3 linked regions of the Mytilus edulis genome follow. The protein of the gene in region 3 purifies or fractionates together with the protein of the main gene of each other region. This does not show direct contact. Links are inferred from orthologs where the notes say so. Each region holds a gene or a part of one and is shown on either strand. Other genes may lie near its edges.

Region 1 (7,977 bases), on a different chromosome or scaffold from region 3:
TAAGAGCTTTCTTCTTCTCCAGACCATGTTTACAGAAATGAATATAACCATTTTCCTTTGATAACATTTATTTGCTTTGGACCAAGTTATTTTTAATATTATATTTTAGATTATACATTTTTTCACCTTTATCAGAGTTACATTTTTTGTAAACATCTTAGCTACACAATGTACATGTACCATACTCTCAGAGTAACTTTAATGAATTTACCACTTAAACATTTCAGTAATTTATTGGTATAACTTTTTGTATACCTGTTTGTTTCTTGAACTGCCTGTTTCTGTGAGCCTGCTGACCTACATACTGCTGTTAATGGAGTTGGTCTTCTTAATAACAGACTTAGTGCTGGATTGAAACCGCTCTTCAACAGTAACACTGAAAATAGAAATTTTTAATATATATATTTAAGAATAGAGGTTGGCAAATTGGATTATGGATCTATTAAAGAATTAGGTTTAAAAGGTTAAAGTAATTTGTGGAACTGACTTATTTCAAAGATTTTCCATGTAAATATAGATTGTGTTCATCACTACAGATATGAAAATAGTTAAGGAAGCTATTAAATCAAGAGTTCCAAATGGTGAAGTTGAAATCATCTCTTTGTAAATTTTATGGACACCATCACCAGTTGGTAGACTGTTATGGAATAACCGTTTCACAAATGATATCAGATACATTTTGTATGTTCCTTACGTCATAACTACAATCCCCTTCCCTTACATAAATGTGACCTACCTAATTAGACTATTTACCGGATTTGTTATCTCATAAGCAACACGACTGGTGCCACATGTGGAGCAGGATCTGCTTACTCTTCCAGAGCACCTGAGATCACCCCTAGTTTTTGGTGGGGGTTGTGTTGTTTATTCTTTAGTTTTTCTATGTTGTGTAATGTGTACTAATAACTAGTACTATTGGTTGTCTGTTTGTCCTTTTATTTTTAGCCATGGCGTTGTCAGTTTATTTTCAATTTGATGAGTTTGACTGTCCCTCTGGTATCTTTCGTCCCTCTTTTAAGTTAATGAGTGGATGATGATGGATGGTTGTTTACTGTTCAGCACCAAATTAAATGCAAATTCAGGATAAAAGTATGTTTAGGCCATATGCACCACATTTTATGTACCTCAGTATTTGTTTACTATGTTTAAACTGTCTTGAAGACGCCACCTTAAGTGGCGAAACATGTAGATCATAATAAAAAAATTATATTTTCCTTTCAGTAATCTATGATGTTGTTGTCTTTGTGTAGCATAATACATGTATTTAGTTGATTTTTGTTTCCAAATGACTTTATATCTGCTCCAAATAACCTTCTGACATTAAGCAAAACTCACGTCAAATTTTACAGGAACTTTTGTGATGTCCAGTCATGGGGGACAAATACTGTTAAAGTGTATTCTAATATGACGTACATGTACACATTCTTCATACGCTTTGAGTACACATCCCTTGTAAATATATTGTTGGGTTGTTCTGATCATACTGGTATGAATATGGTATACATCAGTTTATTTGGAACTACATATACTTGGGTTTACTATTACCAATGTACAATAGGGCTCTTCACGGTTAGTTCGGCCATATTGGATAGGGGGCAGATTTTTTTGAAAGAGGTGGAAATAGTATGAAAGTATGGGAAATCCTATGCATGTTTCTAAGCAACTGCTCTGTTTAAATGATGTGTTCCCACACTAATTTTACCTCCATTGTGAAAATCTGCCCCCTATCCAATATGGCCAAACTAACCGTGAAGAGCCCTATTCGAGACAACTACTTCAATTAAGGAATTCCGGGATTTCCAATGCTATATTTGAGTCAATAGCCTAGATGTTATCCTGATCAGACGTCCCACATGGATGAGCGACCAGATTGATGACCAAATGACTAAAGCCTAAGACTGTTATATTCAGGTAATATGAGGCAGGCATTACCTGTTAATAGGGACGAAGTCTGTATGAATTATATTTTTTGATTCAAACATCTTAATAAAAGAAACGGAAACACTGTAACGTTTCCGATGTTGGTTCTGTTGTTAGGGCTTTAGTTGTGACCTTTTTTAAGTAATGACGTCATATTTAATGTAAACAAAGAAATGCCGTCATCAGGTAACGGTTTTTTCATATCAAACAATTATCAAAAATGAATTGGTATTGAGTTCCTTTCTTATATTTTAGTAAACTGATAAATATATGTATTATTCAAAGTCTCATGCCAACAAGACCGGAAAAGGAAGTAGATTTCTGCGCAAATGCAGGGATTTAAAAAAGTCTGAAAAAAAAGTTAATGATTTTGAGTTCATTAGTAAATATGAAAATTTTTGGAAATTTTCCTGATTTTTTTTTTATTTTTTTTTGTCGATTTTTCTACCGTAATTGGGGACTTTGTCCCCATGATATTTTAACACATATACACAACCCTATAAAATCATTACAATAGTCAATACACCTTATCGCTAATCCCGGCTGACCCGGCCGCTTGAACTTTTTACATCAACAACAATCACTTTTCCATTGTGGCGTCAGATATTTTGTTTTATGACGTCAAAATTTTACGGGAACTTGTGTGATTTCCAGCAATGGCGGACAAATAGCGATAAGGTGTATTATACTCCCATGTCATATATTTTTATTTATTGAGCTTGTGGTAAAATATTAAGCATAAAGGTCCAACCCATGGTAAAATCAGTATAAATGTTTCTTAAAAGTAAATCAAGTCTTTTTTGTTGCAAATAACACTTAACAAAAAACAAAAATATCTCCCCCTTTTTTTTTTAATTCGCGTTAAAACGTTCAACTGTATAAAAGTTAATGCATGGGAGATGATGATCTATGTGTGCCCTTAAAGCATGACAATGAATATTTTGTCTGCACCGAATGGCGACGCTGTAACAATTCTGGTTGTCTGTTTATAGGAATTTGTCCTTTAAAGTTTCATAACCTACAATTTTTCCCAGCCATTGCTGTGTTTTTAGCGGAAATGAGGTCAACATTTTTTAGCGCTTGCGCATTAAATTAAACAAAATGGCGGACGCTGGAGAGCTCAAGGTAAGTGTCGTTCAATTTTTCTATCGATTCATAAATTTTATTGAAAGTAAGTTTATTTTAAGTATTGTATCGAATACATAGATGTATTTTCCTTCCTGTAAATCTAAATTTATATATATTTTCGCCTTCTAGATCAACATAAAGAAGCTTTTATTTCGATATTTTTGACATCCTCGTCAACTAGCAGTGACCTAGATTTGAAAACAATGTGTTTTTGGTCGATAGTTTAATATCCCAGGGAATTCGGCCATAATATAGAGTTAGTTTAACCAGAACTATTAACAACGGTCATGTACATTGAACAGATATTAAATTTTCGAACAACTTTTTTCACATTGAATGTTTAAAATCACGAAGCGGGAACATTTTATCGTCACGGCTAATAGATCCAAGGAGTGTCAAGGTCGTTCTATTTATAAACTATGTTGGAAGTTTGATACAAAACCGAAAATATGTTTATATTTTTGCTCAATTTTTAAATTCAAGATGGAAATTTCCAAGTTAAGCATTAATGACTTCCTTATTTTGAAAAAAAACTTACACTTTCACAGTTGTGTTACTGAACTTGTTTGCTATTTAACATAATATGAGGAAAATGTTACCTGTGAAAAAGGACATAGTATGTAAATTTGTTTCTAAACATTTGAATATTGAATATATAAAATAGTAAATGTATAAAAAAAAGGTTAGTGCTTAACTTTGGAAGGTTATTGGTGCATGTTCGTAGTTCTGATCATACTTAATAATTTTTTTTATAGGAAATCCTCTTTTACAATCATGACAATGTATAATAAACAGATTTGTGAATTATGAAACACTGCATATGTAGACCCAGATTACTCTGACGTCCAACAGCTGAATTGCCAGACTCGGGCTGTGGGACGTCAGAGCTTGTCCCATATCAAAAAGTGGATATTTGCCCACCAAAAATAGATGCACTGCTTCATCGCTTCTGGTGCCGAATAACGGTCTAAGAATTATACAAATCTGGCATCAATCTGTTCGTTTTTCATTTATCTCTTTATTTATTTATATAATAAGTTTCACCTACAAATGTACCTGTCACCTTTAATTTTCTCATATTTAGACAGTTTTGACAGTAACCCATTAATTCTGGCATTTTAACTTTCATTTTGAAAGATTGTCATGTGATCAACGAGAAAAAAGTAAAGCACAATGGACTATGGGAGATAATGTATGCAAATGACCCTAGGTCAATATGAATGCATAATCTAATACCTCGTTCATTTAGGATGCAAGTGATCTAAATGTCCGAGAGCTTCCAATTGTTATCATGGTTGGCACTAAATGCTTAATACTGATCTCCTGTAAAGGAGGTGAAAAATCGTGGTTGGCTACTAAATGTTAGATATCGATCCTCTATAAGGAGGTAAAAAAAGTATAAATATTTGCATATTTTAGTCTCAAGATCTCGTTTAAACTAGAACACCCCTTCAGCCAAAATGCAGTCTTCCATATTATCACTTCGAGTTGTCTCCCTTCCGTAAGTAACTTCCGTCGAACGACGATACGTCGAAAAAAATTAACCTGTTCTGTCAATAGACGTCGTATTATATTAAAACCGATTGCAGTTTAAACAGAGGTATGTGTACGGAAAGGAGTCATGCCCACTGACCCAAAGGAAATTAAATATTTAAAGAGTTAGGAATGGGGTTCCACCTAGAATTCAAATAGGAAAATAGGTGATAAGGTACGAAGTTCGTCTTAGTCTTACTATCGAAGTGAAATACCTTCTCTCACTCTCAGTGACTGCTGTGGAAAGTAAACTTGGAATTGATAGTACAAAAATAAAACACAATAAGTACATTGTTCATCCACTTGTATCGAGGATTGGCTATTTTTAAACTTTAAAGTTGAATAACTATTCAGATTACGTAAATTACATTTTATGAGCATTTTACACGCGCAGTTGAATTATTTTTGAAAATAATACTACTGGTATTCATGTATCAATGAAAACAATGCCAATGGCAATCGTATCCCTCAGAGCAGATTAGCAATCTGCTCTTCGATTGATTAGGTGTAGTTTATGGTGAACCTCTTGTGGTAGGTCAATAATATTTGGTATGCAGTTGTATTGGCACATCTAATTTCCTCTGAGATTATTTGACTCTGTCCCCTCAGTTATGGTCTATTGACTTTGAAACTTTTGCTTGGTTTACATGTATTAGTTTGTGTGATTACATATACATTTGTAGGTCAGTTCAAGGGGAACCATAAGTGTTAGACCAATGTAAATTGGTATGCAGTTCACTACATGTATATAAAATGAAGGAGCTATCATCAATAATTACTTACCATACTTCATTTGTTTAAAAGTATAAAGTTTTCAACTGGTGTAGATTGATATGAAAATAAGAAGAGGTACATGTTCTATGATTTACATGAGACAACGAAATGACAGAAGTTTACAACTATACATGTAGACAGGGTTTCCCCTGGGTCAATTCTTTTTTTCGCCACCTCTTTCGCCAAAACAATATATTTTTCGCCACTTTATTATTTTTTTCGCCAAGTAACATAAATATATTTTTCGTTTAAAATTTACCTTTTTTTAAACAACTTTTCTAAATGAGGGGATCACTATACTTTTTTTTATAATAAAGAAAATATAAATCCTGGAATATAACAAAATTAATGGACATGTTTTGATCATATAATACCAGTATAGTTCGTAGGGAAAGTTTTTTAACAGAAAAATACTGATAATCCCTTTGGTACTAAGAAAAAGCTTTTATCACATGAAACTGATCCCTCATTTCATGTGTAGTCATTATATTGAAAAATTACTCTCATTCGAGGGGTTGTTCCCAACCTTTTGGATAGATTTCTTCATAACGACAGTTTTCTTTTCTTGGCCATAGTAAATTAAAAAGTTGAGACGTAAAACTATGCTTGAAACACGTGTGTCACTCAAACGACTTTAAAGTAGTCTCTCTAATTAATTACCTATATATATAAAAGTCAAAGGATAATAAAAGTTTTATATCGGAGATTTTTCTTGCTTTTGAACATTTTTCATCACCACAACAGTTTTCTTTTCTGAATTATCTTTAAAAGGAGAGGAGACGCCAAAAGTTTGCTTCAAACACGTGCGTCGCAAAGTGGTAAATAAATTCTGTATGTGACATTTAGCGGAAGCCATTTAACCATATTATTATTTTCAAACAATTCAATCAACACCTTTATTAATTAGTCCTTTGTTGTCGATAACTATAAAATGCAATCAGCTGATTATTGATTTTCTGTCAAAATCTTAATGAGGTCAAGGTGAATTCTGAGTAATGTCTGATCAGGTAAAGTCCGAAAAACTCGAAAAAAGTACATAAACAAGATGGAGGAAAATAATTCGTTCTATATATTTCTTTCGCCAAATTCTTTCGCCAATGAAGAATTTTAATCGCCACAATTATTATTTTTTCGCAAATTGCGAAAATGGCGACCGCCAGCGGAAACCCTGCATGTAGACAGTACAAATAAATGTGTGATACTGTTGTTAATTCACTCAGGTATATCACAAGATGGATACAATTCAAAATATAAAACATCAATGTTTTGAAAAACCTCCTTCATGTTATCTCAAAATACAAGATTCATCACTAATGCCTTGAGAATTGTTCCCCTAATTCTGAAAAGGAATGAGTCCCGGATTTATCATCACCAGAATAAATCTCAACGTATTGTTTGTAACATATCTCTAATGTTGTTTTTTTTAGCAAATGGTTATGAGCTTCAGGGTGTCTGAACTACAAGTTTTATTGGGATATGCGGGTCGAAATAAAACAGGAAGAAAAACAGAGCTCATGCAAAGAGCTCTACAACTTGTACAGAAAGGTGCCTCAGTACCTATACAGATAAAAATCAGAGAATTATACAAGTAAGTGAACATTGTTTATCATTTGTCTGAAATACAGTTGTACATGTACATACAAATTATATAGGCCAGAAAAAAATTATACCTGTGTTGGTGTTAATATTTGGTAGTTTGTAGGAATGTTTCTGGCATTTTTCTATATTTAGACAATTTGTAAAATATTCATGAAATCATAATAACTTTACATGTAGCTTTACTATGTTTATTGAATAAAATGACTTACAATATATATACTGTACTGAAAAAAATTGGCTGAAATTCAAAATATTTACTGATCAGTTTCATCTTCACTGCCTCAAGAGTTTCTTTAGTCTTTATAGACAATCTGATGACAATGAACTATATGTATTGAAATGGGTTCATCGAAAAGTGTGGGGTATATATGGCAGTGAGACAGCAACCCAAAAGTATTCATCAAACCAAAAGACTTCAAGTGGGCAACATAGTCATCATCAATAGACCGGTGCTTGTGTAAAATATGTACAAGCTGAATCCTCAGGAATTTAAAAATAGTTACATATGACAGTTAACAGAAATAATCTGAAGATCTACAATAAACATCGAACTCTGCAAATAACGAAAAATATATAAATATATAACATGACCACCACTGGCAATGTTCTATTTCTCAGTATTATAAAGAAACCATATACATTTGTACATGTAAGTATGCTGTAATGTTAAATTGTTGTCTTATTTGTTCAATTCCAATATGTATTTAGAAGAACATTAACTGATCCTTGAGCAGAATCATTTGTTATCTTTGCAGTCAAATTTTTTCATCTAACAGGAGGAAGCCACCTGGGAAGTCTGATGAAGGTCCTATGTTTAGTAGCAGTAAGTTTTATGTCTATGTATAATTGGTGATGGAAGAAGCATGTTGTTGTCTTATAACCCAAAACAAATTATAACAGTACAAAAATTGAAAGAGTCATATTTTGGGGTTGGCCTTAATTCCATAAGTTTTCCTCCTTTGAATTCGGGTAAAGTAATAGAAAATCAATGTTTATAACAATTATAAAACAATACCATTATTC
Region 2 (7,302 bases), on a different chromosome or scaffold from region 3:
AAACGTACTGCACCGGCATGTGTAAGCAATTTAATTAATTGTTTTGTTTGTATTGCAATTAGTTGATATTTGTTATTTTGATGTCAATTCTACCATCAAATATTTTTTTCTATTTTTGGTGTCCCATTTTTTAAATAATTCTTTTTTATAGTTGCTCTTCTTTTTCTGAAATTGTATTTTTTTTTTTACTTATGTGTTATATTTTGTAAATAAAGTCTTATTAGAGATGAAAAATTGGATATGGATATTTCATATTTTAATGAATAAATAAAGACAAATATCATACTACATGTATCATAACAAATATTTTATTTCTGAATCAGCACTAAATTCAAAGCACAATTTTACATTTGCGTACCAATAGAGATCAATAGAGAAAATGTACATGTTATTAATAATACATGTAGCATACGCTTTGTGTTGAAGACTGTAATTTAACCTATGATGGTTCATATTAATACTTTTACAAATCGTTGTCTCATTGGCACTCATAACACATGTTCTTATATCTAAATAAAGGTTACTTACCATATTCTTCAGGAATTTGTTGACCAAATAACCCTAAATCTTTTAACTGCTGTAAAACATCATCAGGAATTTTAGCTTTTTCATCTATTGTCTTTGAATCAACTACAACAAAGTTGAAAACTTTTCTATCAGTCAGCCAGGGAAATTATACAAGTCATCTTCATTTGCTTGAAAGTGTTAGTAATATTTACTTGTATAGAAAATTTTGGAAGACTTGGATTTAATTTTCAAAGTTTGATCTTTTCCCAAAATTTACTTCCACAAGTACTATTTTTACAACCCCCTTAACATTGTTAAATTTTTAAGTTTTGGGAGGTCAAAACATGCATAGAAAGAGCAGTATGTTGACAGGAAAAATAAACTAACTTTCTTTCTTTTTTATTAGATAGAGACATTTAATTTTTTTAAATATCATGACTACAATTTATTATTATTATCTATCTTATGAACCTCAAAGACTAAAATAAGATAGAACCAGGTGCTCATCAGGGCACAGCTTTATACGAATGCAGAAGTCGATCCCTGAACAGTTGGGGCAAGTATGGACACAACATTCAAGCTTGATACAGCTCTGAATTTGGATTGCGATCAAATTTTTGACATAATATGAGTTTCTGACACAAAACAAATGTCAAGATCTTACAAATCTATTGCGCAATATTGTGCAATTAAAGATTTCTTCTTTTAACTTTTCAAAAATTTGGAATTTTAGAAATTTGAAAAAAAAATTAAAAACAACTACCAGCCCCCTTTTTTTGCAATTAGTCCAAGACCTGACATTTCTTAATACATAATATACAAGTAGTGTAAGGGAGGTAAACCAGAACATACATGTACCCAATATTGTATGTTAAATGTTTTAGAATTACCTCCCTTACACTGCTTTTAAATTGTCTTAATTGTCCATTGAACAGAAATACCTATTTTTTCCCCTTTTTTTGCCCCTAAATCCGAAACATTTTGAGCCATAACCCCTCAAAGTCAATACTAACCATCTCTTCATGGTATGGTAACTTGTGGTTTAATTTCAGAGAGATTCATACACTTAAACATAAGTTATTGTTTGAAAACTACAAAAAATATTATTTTGGGCCCTCTTTTTGGCCCCTAATTCCTAAACTATTGGGACCATAACCCCCAAGATCAATCACAACCTTCCTTTAGTGGTATTTAATTTTCTTGTAAAAATTTAAAGAGATCCATACACTTAAACACAAGTTATTGTCTGTAAACTAGAAAAATGCTTCTTTTTGTCCCTTTTTTGGCCCCTTATTCCTACATATTCGGGAAAACTAACCTCAAACTAAATCTCAGTTTTTTTTGTATTTTTGCGGTTGTATAATTATGGACCAAGGATATTAAACTTGTACAGAATGAATAACTACCTTCATCAAAAAATCTTTCTATAGGCTGCACCAATTGGTTTATATCATCTAACTGTTCTTTCGTAAGTTCAGGGTATATCAGAGCATCCTGAAAATGTCAAAGCATCTACATTGTACATACGAATACTTTGTTTTTGTCTGTGTCACTTAAAATTTATAATTTTACAGGAAATGGTGTTTGAATTTCTGTACAAAATATTTACACTTTATCTGTTAATGTTGACCATGTTGACAACCTTCCCAATAGTTGCTGATTGAACACAGTTATTTTGTAGCACATTTCTTTTAGGCAATAACACGCAATAAATTAAAATCAACAAAATCGCTAGTCCATGGTAAAAATCTCATCAGAATTGTGATTACCCCACAGGTCTAGTGAACATCTGAAATCATCATATTTTCATATTAAAATGTTTAGGATTTTATGTCTTTACATACACATTACACATTATTGCTATTCCAGGCTGACCCAAGAATCTGTCTCGCTTGAACTACTGACGTCATACAACAATCACTTTACCATTGAGGCGTCAGATAAATTCTATTTCTGATGTCAAAATTTCACGGAAACCTGTGTGATATCCAGTAACAGCTCAGAGTAATGGCCGACAATAGCGATTAGGTTCATTGTATGTAGATGTATTATTATTATTGTGGGCAAAAAGCTGTATAGTGCTTATGTAACCTCCACTTATATTTTATAATAACATTTTCTCTTCTATTTGATTGGAAATAGCAGTATTTGGAAGATCATGTAAAGTTGTTGCATCGGCTAATACTTTTTTTCATAATTACCTTATCAAAATTTCCAAGAAATAAATTTTTAACAAATGGATCATTCGTTTTAGGTTTTAATGCTTTCTGGATATACTCTCCACTTTGACTAGTTTGAGTTATTTCTTTATCGTCTAGATCTGCTTTCTGAATAGAACCGCTACTAGCTTTTCTACGTTGTAACCTTACAATGTGCTTGTTAGAAGAAAACAGTTTATCCTTTGAAAAATACCGTAGAGTATAACTTGTTCTCGACCACATATTTCTTAGTTTCAATTTCTATTTTTATACTGGTTCCTCTGTGTATTCAAACCAACCCGGGAACCAGACGAAAGGGTTTGAATAACGGATAGAAATAAACTATATTTATACCAGGATATTAACTTTTATCCTTGATTACGATACTTATTTTTAGTATTAATCACATAATTTATTGATCTAAAATTTAGAATTTTTTTTTGTAGTATCATATTCATAAATAGAATTTTAATAGACAATCTGATAGAGCTTCTATCTTTTACTCAAGCTTTGTGAAAGATATTTTACTTCCTTGTTCAAAATCTGTAGGACAGATAAGGTGTTACTTCAATGTATGTAATATAAACCTTTCATTTTAGATAATGTCTGTATGATATAGATCTTCCTTTATTTCGGAATGCTGTTTTCAGTGATCTTATAATTATAAAACTACAACCCAATAGGCATAAAAGGCAATATATAAATTATTTCTATTTAAAATCCCAAATTATACATAATTTTGTTCATATACAATGTATTAAATATACAAGCTCACATTTACAAAAAATAAAAATAAACTAAAAAAATCTGGAGCAACACATTTTCTCAATGATAATGCTGGATCACAGCCTTTTATCTACAAGGACTCCCTTATAACAAGCAGTTCATAACTTCATTAACATGATCAAGACTCAATATTGTCTTTGTAACGGATCACATCAAAGACATCAAATAAGGCGATAAGTCGAGTATGCGGTCTATATAAGTATCTTTATTCTTCAAAACTACATTGTGTACATATAATTTTGGCTTCATATACTATATCATAACAACCGATTCTCTACAATAAAATACAAATACACGTAAGTTAAAATATAACTTAAAACACTAAAGGCATAATACTAATCAAACAATATGATTCACTTTCTTTCACGCTTCATAAGTAACTTGTTGAATTAAAAAGTTAATTAGAATAAATATTAATTTATAAATACTTTTACAATTCTTAATATTTCTTCTTCAAATAAATATTGTTCTTAAAAATGTACATAAATTATCTCTTACTGATTATGATCTCTCTATAAAATAATGATGTGTCTCCGAATATCAAATAACTTGCAATGAATAAAAAACTAGACAACGTAACGTACGTCAAAAGCGAAACGTCATAAAACTTAAAAACGGGAAATATTATAATGTTCATGAGCAAAACGTTACATATGCGCAAATACCCAAAAATAGTATCTACAAGTATTATAAATAAAATAAATAAATTCAGTAATAATAAATGAAGTAACCCAACAATTTGGAATTACATTTCAAATCTAACAGTCTTGTGAGACTATCAGTTATCTTGTTTGACCCCTAATTTTGCATTTCTTAAGTATATTATACTAAGTTTACTTAGCTTTATGCTAAGTTACAGTAAATGGGCTATGCCACAGATTTTGGTTTGGATCATTGAAAAAAAATTGTGTTTGTAAATTAATTTAGTACATGTAGTAGTTGAACGTAAAATAACAGTTATCACCAAACATTTACCTAAAAGACCAAAAGTATTTAACAAATCAGGACGACATAAAATTATTAAAATATCCTTAGGAAACCATATTTTAGAATGTGTACAGAACTAGTATTAGTACATATACTTGAGAATATTTTTTTTTAGCATCTGGGAACTTTCAAAAGGCAAAGAATAGAACATAATAATAAAAGAATGACAGCTTATTGCAAATTAAGGAAGACCTTTTCAGTGGAAAGCCCAAAATCTATTACTTCATTACATATTTATAACCATTATAATCAGACCTATCTTGTTGTATGGATATGAAATTTGGGGTTATATACCACATAAGAAACAAAAATATATGGATAACTTCATATCAAAAGAAACTGATTATCTTGTTCTAGAGAAAATTCATACTAAGTTTTGTAAGTTTTCTTGGAAGTAATTTAAAAACATCAAATATGGCATGTAGAGTTGAACTAGATTAAGGTAGCACAATACAAAGATTTTTCATCCCCAATCAGACATCTTTAAACTGATGTAATTCCACTCATCTTTCTTTAAATTTTATAAATAAGGTACCAAAAAAAAGAAGAAAGATTAATCTTTCAAATTGTGATAATTTCATTATGACATAATTATTACATAATTAATTGTTATGTAATTAGTTGCCATTCTGTGATGTCCATACTTGAATGAATTTAGCTTCTTTGTTCTTCATAGCATCCTAAATTTTTTTTATAGATTCTTGCACAACACAGTTTGACCTCCAAAACTGTGTCTCAGATTTTTCCTATTGTATTTCATTCTCTCATAAATCTTCAATGAAGTTTGCAACATCAATTCATTAGAGACCACTAAGTTCAATTGGGTATAAAATTTGTTCTATTGATGTTTTTGGAAATCTGAGACACAGTTTTGGAGGTCAAGCTGTGTTGTACAAGAATCTATAAAATATTTTGGGATGCTATGAAAAACAAAGACGCTAAATTCATTCAAGTGTGGACATCACAATATAGCGACTAATTACATAATAATTAATTATGTAATGATTATGTCATAATGAAATTATCACAATTTGAAAGATTAATCTTTCTTCTTTCTTTTGGTACCTCATTTATAAAATATAAAGAAGGATGAAATGAATTACATCAGTTTAAAGTTGTCTGATTGGGAGTGAAAAAATCTTTATATTGTGCTACCTTAACTCCCTACACTTTATTATGTAATTATCAGTATGATAAAATATTGGAATCATCGTATGAAAGAATTGAACCTTCAAATATTATCCTATATGGGAGGCCATAAATTTATCCCATTCTGTGAACAAACCTAACCAGGAATCTTGGATAGGAAACATCAAACATATATTAAATTCTAAGATCATGTAGATTTAGACTTTTCTTTTGTTAACAAGTTTGAAGTACCGTTAAACTTTACAAAAAAACAATATTTAAAAAAGAGTTTAAAAATTCTCTTAAACAATAAAATTTTAAAGAAATTTGGATGCCAATATACAGTAGGGCAATAGATTAAGAACTTAAAGACATTTTTATGTCCCATTTATGGGCATTATGTTTTCTGGTCAGTGCGTCCGTCCGTCTGTTTGTCCGTCCGTTAGTCCCGCTTCAGGTAAAAGTTTTTGGTCGCGGTAGTTTTTGATGAAGTTGAAGTCCAATCAACTTGAAACTTAGTACACATGTTCCCTATGATATGATCTTTCTAATTTTAATGCCAAATCAGAGATTTCCCCCCATTTTCACGGTCCACGTAACATAGAAAATGATAGTGAGGATGGGGCATCCGTGTACTGGGGACACATTCTTGTTTAAATATATTTTATTTTTGAATTTTTATGAGGTAATCATGTGACCTTATGATATAACCATATTGGAGGTTTAGCATTGGGTAAAGGGTGTTTTAATAATCTAAGAAGTATAATAAGCCAAATATCAAGACTACATGACAACCATGAAATACTATTTTAAGACTTGATATTTAGGTATATCATAAGCCAAACATCAAGACTAAATGACTACAATGTACTTCTTAGATTATTAAAACATTGAAATCGGCTGTAATTCAATGAAATAGTTTTGGTTGCTGTTTTCGATTAGTCATTCAGTAACCTCCGTTTCATGTACAAGTTTATATTGACGGAAAGGCCCAACTTCGCTAGTACAGGAATTAGTTCCATTATGACAGCTATAACATGAGTAGCAGGACAAGTCGCCAACTAAACTGTGAAATTTGTCGCCTCTATCAGCAATAAATCGCTAAAAGCTAAAAAGATTTATAAAATAGCCAAATTTAATCTGTGTGGATTCTATGTTCCGAGTCAGTCAACATGCACCATTTTTTTTTTCGACAGCCTTCAATATCTTGCTCCAAATTTCACCACCCGATTTGTTTAATTATCAGGAGCATTTCATTGAAACTAATTAAGCACATGTAACGGTGGTAATAAGCGTTTTTTCAGATTATTTGACGTTTTGATACGTTTGGAAAAAATGACTACCGTTTTGCAATGTTTCGTAGCATTTTATTCCTTTAAGACCCACACATGTAGTTAATAAAGAAAAGAATCTAGGCATTTTGTACTTTCTGTGTATCTAACTTTTGTTTTGATAATTATAAATTACTTATTGAAATATAAAGTAAACCAGGTGCTCCGCAGGGCGCAGCTTTATACGACCGCAGAGGTCGATCCCTGAACAGTTGGGGCAGGTATGGACAAAACATTTATGCGTGATACAGCTCTGAATTTGGATTTTGATCAAATTTTTGACGACGCAGGACGACGACGCCAACGTGATAGCAATATACGACCAAAAAATTAAAATTTTTGCGGTCGTATAAAAACCAACATTA
Region 3 (6,522 bases):
AAAAATTAATAGCACCCTCGAGCTCAATGACTATGATGACCCTTGAAGCTAAACGGTGGCTCATTTAAAAGTGTTTTACCTTACATTCTATTTCTAGCTTTGGCAACCAAATTTGTTTGCAAACAAAATCATGACAAATGTATGTAAGACCATCTTTTAAACAAGATTCAAGGATGATTCTGGCTTCTATTAAACCAAAAATTTACATTGTACACTACATATTCAGATTAGAAGAGTTTGGTAAAAGTTAAACACTGAACATGTACAATGTACAGATGCCAAGTGATATAAAGAATAGCTCTACTGCACATGGTTCTTCAGGTCAAAAGACCTATAAAAAGCATTGGTGGACAGTGCTCAAGTACATACTGTTACGATACATATGTAGGCTATAAAGGTCAGTTAATAAAGTATAAGTTGACACAGAGATAACATGATGATTGTTGTTCCAAATGGTCAATTTTTTTAAGATTTTTTTTTTTTGTATGTACATTGATTGAATGAAACTAACAAGATCATGAAGATTTTTCATTTTTTTATGAACACATAATGAAAACAAATCAAAGTGTATACATACATTAGAATATTTAATATCCTAATGTGTAACAAAACTACATCATGCTCTCAGTAACCATGGTAACTAAAGTATGTGTTACATATGTAGAAGATCAAAATGCTAGAAAAGATGTCTAATGCATCTCACAAGTTCATTTTGTGACATCCACATCACGTGAATAAAAAGAAACAAACAAGTTTTGGATTTTTTGTCAATGTTAAGTAACATCTGCATCTGACAAATGTCTGCGAGAGAACCCGGTTTGAAATATGTAAGCATGTTATTTCTTTCAATATCAAAATGCATGAACAGAGATAGTTCATTCTCATTCACGGACAATAACTAGAACAAGGATGAAATTTATTTGTTTGCTGTTTTTTTGTCTTTTGATAAATCAGTCGACTCAGCAAGCTTATAAACAGTAGGCTCTTGTCTTTGTGAGGACAAATATTTCACAGCTTTTTCATTCCTTTTCTTGAATTCATTAGATACATGCAATTCAAAAGTCTGAAAATGTTTTAACACATGTTTGACCTGAACAGGGTCCAACTTATATTCTTTGGCAACTTGTTCGGACGTGTATTCTTCAGGGTATTTTTGATGATTCAATATAAATTCTAATGTTTTTCGAAGAGTCACTTTCCCTTCTGGTATTGAAGCAGGTTCATCGAATCCGAATTCAGGGTCTTCTGTTTCCTTTCTACTTTCAGGCATTTTTTTGGCCACAATATCTTGATTTTTCCCAGTTGAATCTATTTGTAATGTTTTTAAGCGTTCGTCTAACACATTGTCCTTGACTTTTTGAGCTTCATATAACTCTGGGTGTTCTTTCGAGAATTTGTCCAGTATATCTGCGGTGGAGTCATGTCGTGGTGCTGCTGGTAATTTGTCTTTTTGAATAAACCTGTGTGATCGATTTTCAATGTTGTAATTTTTAAAACTTCTCGATACAGTAGGTAGAAGTTCACTTATCCTGTTTCCCATCTCAATGCTAGGGAAAAGAAATAATTTATATTTCTATTTGTACACTCCAATATTTTCAAGTTGACTTACACAACGTATCGTGCTAGTTAATGACATTTAACCAATTTGAAACACCCATTTTCATTGGTTATCATTGATCGTAATCAACAGACACTCGTCTTCGTCCTCTCATAACATAAAGCCCCATAAACGGTACCAGATACGCATTCCAACAATCAATGTCTCTTCAGTGATGCCCGTACTCATGGAGTTTTGGTAATGTGATTACTTTGTCGTTTTTATAGTGATTATTTGATAACCAGACCAAATATTAATTTCAAGACAACTTGAGTGATAATCTAGGAACATATTTGTATAACTTTCTGGATTACGGGCTTGTTTAAAAAAAATGATCTAGTAAGGGATTTTATTGGAAACCAATTTGTGATTGTGTGATTGCTTTTACACCCCTCAATATTTGAAAATCCGATTACCATAAAAAAAAAAGCAACATTGTATTGTAACAAATTATATTTAAATTATACCAACTTGAAGTTGTACGTTGTGTTTGGCATGGCGTGCTTTTATAATTCATTCTGATATATTTGAATTGTTTTTTCGATGTTTAAATACATGGATATTTGTATAGGGGCGAATAGTTTTATCTTTTTTTCAGACTGCTATCCAAAGTTAGGATACTTCAGTGGTTGTCGATCAATGGTTGCTGCATGTCCGCGTTTTTACTGATTTGTATCATGAGTGTTTTGAGTAAATCAAGCCTTTGGGTTTCTTCTTTATGATGTTACACATTTTGTCCTGTCGCACGACGTTTTATAGCAGTTATATTTCTAATAAAAAAAACAGTATTTTTGTGTACACATGGTACATCAGTATCTAATAATTGGTCTGTGGTTATATTGTTATCATTGGCCGCTGAATGATTACACATTTAGAACTTATTTTGGAACTTTGCTAATATAATAATTTTGGATGTTGTTTGGGTTTGTTTATGGTGTTGGAGTCATGATAATGATTTCTAGTCCATTTTTTTTCAAGATTTCAATTAGTATATAACTATTTACTATTTATCATTTTTAGCTTAACTAAACCATACAGACATGTGAGCTATTCTTATCAGTTGGCAAATGTCGTCTGTTTGACTATGTTGACTTTTACAAAAAAAAACTCTCCTGAGATAATTGAAACAAGATTCGGTAATTATTCTCCTTGTAATGTGTCCGATAACACTGCTAACCAAACCAACATGATCACCAGACTAAAAATAGAACATAGATGAGGTCAAACATATGTACTGTATAATGATAACTTTTGTAATCGCGTGGCTAATATTTTCAAGGGGCATAACTCTTTTGAAAGTCGATATTGCTGATATTGACTTGAAGTACAAGTTTTATAAAACTGAATCTGGAAAGAATTGTACCTACGAGAGCGCTAACAAGACCGGTACGACGGACCAACGGACGGCACGACCAACGGACGGACGCCCAGTATTGAAAAGTCTCAAAGCATTTCAAATTTTCGACTAGGGCATAAAAGGGGGTCGATGCAGTCGAGCACCAAACTTTGGCGATAAAATCCTACTTAATATACTCTTATTCTGTCTTCAACTGTAACCTAGTTTTAGAAAAAAAGTAGATTGTAAACGCTGATATTTGGCGTGTAACGATCTCAACAACTTACATCCTTCCCCTTAAAACACAAAACTGTACGTGACCTTATCTTGATTTTAGACTAAATTTTCAATGCATATCTTATGCATACTATTATCAAGTGAAATATCAATTTGTATAGTAATTGTCAATATGTTGTTCATACTGTACGCACGAACTCCATTTTGGATGAATATTGTGGTAGGGTGATGAACATTTTTATCTTAATGGTTTTATTTCATAAAAAGATACGGTCCTGTACAACAGTGTTAATGCAAGAATTGGCGGTGGCTGACGGACTCACTGCGTTTTGTACCTATGGATTTGAACCTTTTTTTAATTTGCATTATGAAGTGATAGGAAATGATACTTATACATCATGATGTTTTTAAAAAAGGAAGTTTATGACTAAGAAATATATCGTGACTTTTGTTTGTCATTCAAGCTTTTCAATACTGATTCAGTATTTATGTTTACATATATGATAAGTTTCAATTTGTGTTATATTTGATAATTATTTTGGTTTCCTGTGTCTCGAGATTTCATGATAGAATTCTTAGTTTTTGACTCAAAATATTAATTTCTGGTCAGGAAGTATGTTTGTTTCCGTATACAATCTTTTTGTTATGTTTAAAACAATGGAGTTATAATATTTGACATATATATTTGACGGTTTCATATGTTTTTATGATGAAATCTTAGTTTTTGACTCAAAACACTATTATATCATTTTAATCATGAAATTGTCAGTTTTCTTATTAAAAAACATGTTTGTGATGTTTCAAATATAAAAATGGTGTTTAATTAAAACATAAATATTTTTAAATTTCCCAGTTTTCATAAATTTGTTTATTTAAAAATAAATCCGATGATTTTAACCCATACTATTCAATTTCCACCAATGCTGTTCGGTGTGAGCCAAGTCTCCGTTTTAAAGGCCGTACTTTAATCTATAATTGTTGACTTTTTACACATTGTGACTTGGATGGAGAGTTGTCTCATTGGCACTCATACCACATCTTCTTATTTCTATTGACAGTCTGAGAAAATAAGTATAACATGATGTTTTATAACTTTCTGGACGCACACAAAAACCCACTCAATTAGATAATGTTGCAATATTATTGATGTTTTCTGCATTGATTGACTCCCATGCATTAATGAAATGAACGTATTTCCAAGGACAAATAGGGAAGTTAAATATTTAAAGAGGGTGGTAAAGGATTATTTTCGTGCAACGTGTTTTGCCATTTTTATTTCACGTGCAGCCGTGAAAAGGTTCGTTATTCACCGTGTTTCGTGAAATCGGTAAAAAGATCAACGTGCAGGACATTTTTAATTGTTCGTTAATCGTGAAATAACAATTTTACTTCGCGTTCTTTGGTGCAGATACCTTCTACCCCTCTTTACGCCCCTCTTTAAACAAAAACGATTACTCATTATTAGATTTTGCTATTAAAAAAAATCTATTATACGATAATTTAGATTGTGTTATCTTGATTGTTGTACTTATGCACATATATGTGAGCTTTTCTTGATTTATTCGAATAAAATGGTTATGTCCGAATATGGTCCGTTCTAAAACTTGCGTGAAAACTTAAATTAAGATACATGTGTTGATTTTTTCTGCATATTTACTTTTTAGTTGATAGTTTTTCATTGAACTTTTCTGATGTATTTTCATTCATATATATAATTTTTTAACAAATTTCTCAAGACACTTTTATACTATATAAAATTGAGAATGGAAATGGGGAATGTGTCAAAGAGACAACAACTCGACCATAGAGCAGACAACAGCAGAAGGTCACCAACAGGTCTTTAATGCAACGAAAAATTCCCACACCCGGAGACGTCCTTCAGCTGACCCCTAAACAAATATATACTAGTTCAGTGATAATGAACGCCATACTAAACTCCAAATTGTACACAAGAAACTAAAAGTTAAAATAATACAAGACTAACAAAGGCCAGAGGCTCCTGACTTGGGACAGGCGCAAAATGCGGCAGGGTTAAACATATTTGTGATATGATATCTCAACCCTCCCCCTATACCTCTAGTCAATGATACATATATATTTATACTATTTTGTTTTATTTATTGGAATATGATAGCCTTATATTATAACTCCTTATCATTATCCCAACTCTCAATGAAGCGTCTTTGTCAAAGAATCTGCCTATAGGAAATATATCAAAATAAGGATAAAGGATAGAATTTTTACCTCCCAATTGAAAAGTGAGGACACGTTAGAAAGGGACAAACATTTTGTGTCGGAATCAATGAATTACCTCATGTGTATGGTCTGTAGCGGGCGAAAAAAAATATGACTGATTCACACAGCAGGGGCGGATCCAGCCATTTTAAAAAGGGGGGTCCTAACCCAGGACAAAGGGGGGATTCCAACTACATGTCCCCATTCAAATGCATTGATCGTCCAAAAAAAGGGGGTCCAACCCACGGACCTCCCTGGATCCGCCACTGCACAGATATGCCCTTCTGCAATTGAGGATAGAAACCAGATATCGTGTTAATAATCCACATTTTTTTTAAACACGTTGCATGCGGTTTTGATCGTTTTATTTTTGCCCTAAGTAAAGAAACAGGACAACGATCCTTTAAATTATCAAGTCTTAATTTAAATTTTTAAGTGAAACGTAGTAATAGGGATTCTAAGATATTTTGATTAAGAAGAAGGCACTTGAATCATACCTTTTTTTAATGGGGTTGGGGCTAGGATGAAAATTTTTGTCTTGCACTTTTTTTGTGTTTTTAGTTTTAATCTCTGTCCTGCCTTTTTATATTTTACTCTATTTGGTCCTTTTTTATCTATTAGTTTATCCCGACTTTTTTTTATTTGAATTGTCATCCTGCCTTTTTTTGGCAAAGTATCTCATCCTGCATTTTTTTTAACTCAAAACTTCTGTTCTGTTTCTTTTCAAATTTCATCTTAGCCCCCACCCCCTTAAAAATCAAATGGTAGCTTCCGTAGATGGTATTCACATATTCACATATTGTAATCAATCCTTAATACGGTTCCTCTGGTGATCAGTTGAAGTATGTTTCAATAAAAGGGAAGATTTGAGATCCCAGGGAATCAGTTTTACCACATGTTTAAGTATCTAAACCAAATGAGGAACCTTTCAAACGCTGTCTTTTCAAGACGTTTGTCACGTCATTTTTTTTTTCGTCTGGAGAATTCTGCGTAAAAGAGAGATTTTTAAAAGGCTGTGTGGAATAACCATGCAAACAGGCTTAGGAAGATTGAGTGCTACCAAATTGGACTTATCACCGGATTTGTACTAACGTCAGCAATATGACGGGTGCCACAT

Evidence for each region. Proteins that work in one complex are often made in the same cells at the same time.
Region 1: the proteins of NADH dehydrogenase [ubiquinone] 1 alpha subcomplex assembly factor 4-like (region 3) and NADH-quinone oxidoreductase subunit B 2-like purify together in Homo sapiens (co-immunoprecipitation; 4 studies listed by BioGRID and IntAct, counting the BioPlex papers as one, with this or other methods). This does not show direct contact. The link is inferred for Mytilus edulis from reciprocal best matches to the Homo sapiens genes NDUFAF4 and NDUFS7.
Region 2: the proteins of NADH dehydrogenase [ubiquinone] 1 alpha subcomplex assembly factor 4-like (region 3) and complex I assembly factor ACAD9, mitochondrial-like purify together in Homo sapiens (co-immunoprecipitation; 3 studies listed by BioGRID and IntAct, with this or other methods). This does not show direct contact. The link is inferred for Mytilus edulis from reciprocal best matches to the Homo sapiens genes NDUFAF4 and ACAD9.

The regions. Positions count from the first base shown.
Region 1 is NC_092347.1:29,798,175-29,806,151, reverse strand, and holds the start of NADH-quinone oxidoreductase subunit B 2-like, read right to left. Parts: upstream 3,013-7,977; 5' UTR 2,959-3,012; coding exon 2,943-2,958; intron 377-2,942; coding exon 256-376; intron 1-255. Other genes in the region: E3 SUMO-protein ligase PIAS2-like, read left to right, coding at 3,022-3,045, 6,783-6,943, 7,710-7,777. UniProt on the Homo sapiens protein: Core subunit of the mitochondrial membrane respiratory chain NADH dehydrogenase (Complex I) which catalyzes electron transfer from NADH through the respiratory chain, using ubiquinone as an electron acceptor. Essential for the catalytic activity of complex I.
Region 2 is NC_092344.1:87,965,023-87,972,324, forward strand, and holds the start of complex I assembly factor ACAD9, mitochondrial-like, read right to left. Parts: upstream 3,013-7,302; 5' UTR 2,949-3,012; coding exon 2,709-2,948; intron 2,002-2,708; coding exon 1,914-2,001; intron 631-1,913; coding exon 529-630; intron 1-528. UniProt on the Homo sapiens protein: As part of the MCIA complex, primarily participates in the assembly of the mitochondrial complex I and therefore plays a role in oxidative phosphorylation.
Region 3 is NC_092350.1:75,670,031-75,676,552, reverse strand, and holds NADH dehydrogenase [ubiquinone] 1 alpha subcomplex assembly factor 4-like, read right to left. Parts: upstream 1,646-6,522; 5' UTR 1,541-1,645; coding exon 917-1,540; 3' UTR 521-916; downstream 1-520. UniProt on the Homo sapiens protein: Involved in the assembly of mitochondrial NADH:ubiquinone oxidoreductase complex (complex I). May be involved in cell proliferation and survival of hormone-dependent tumor cells. May be a regulator of breast tumor cell invasion.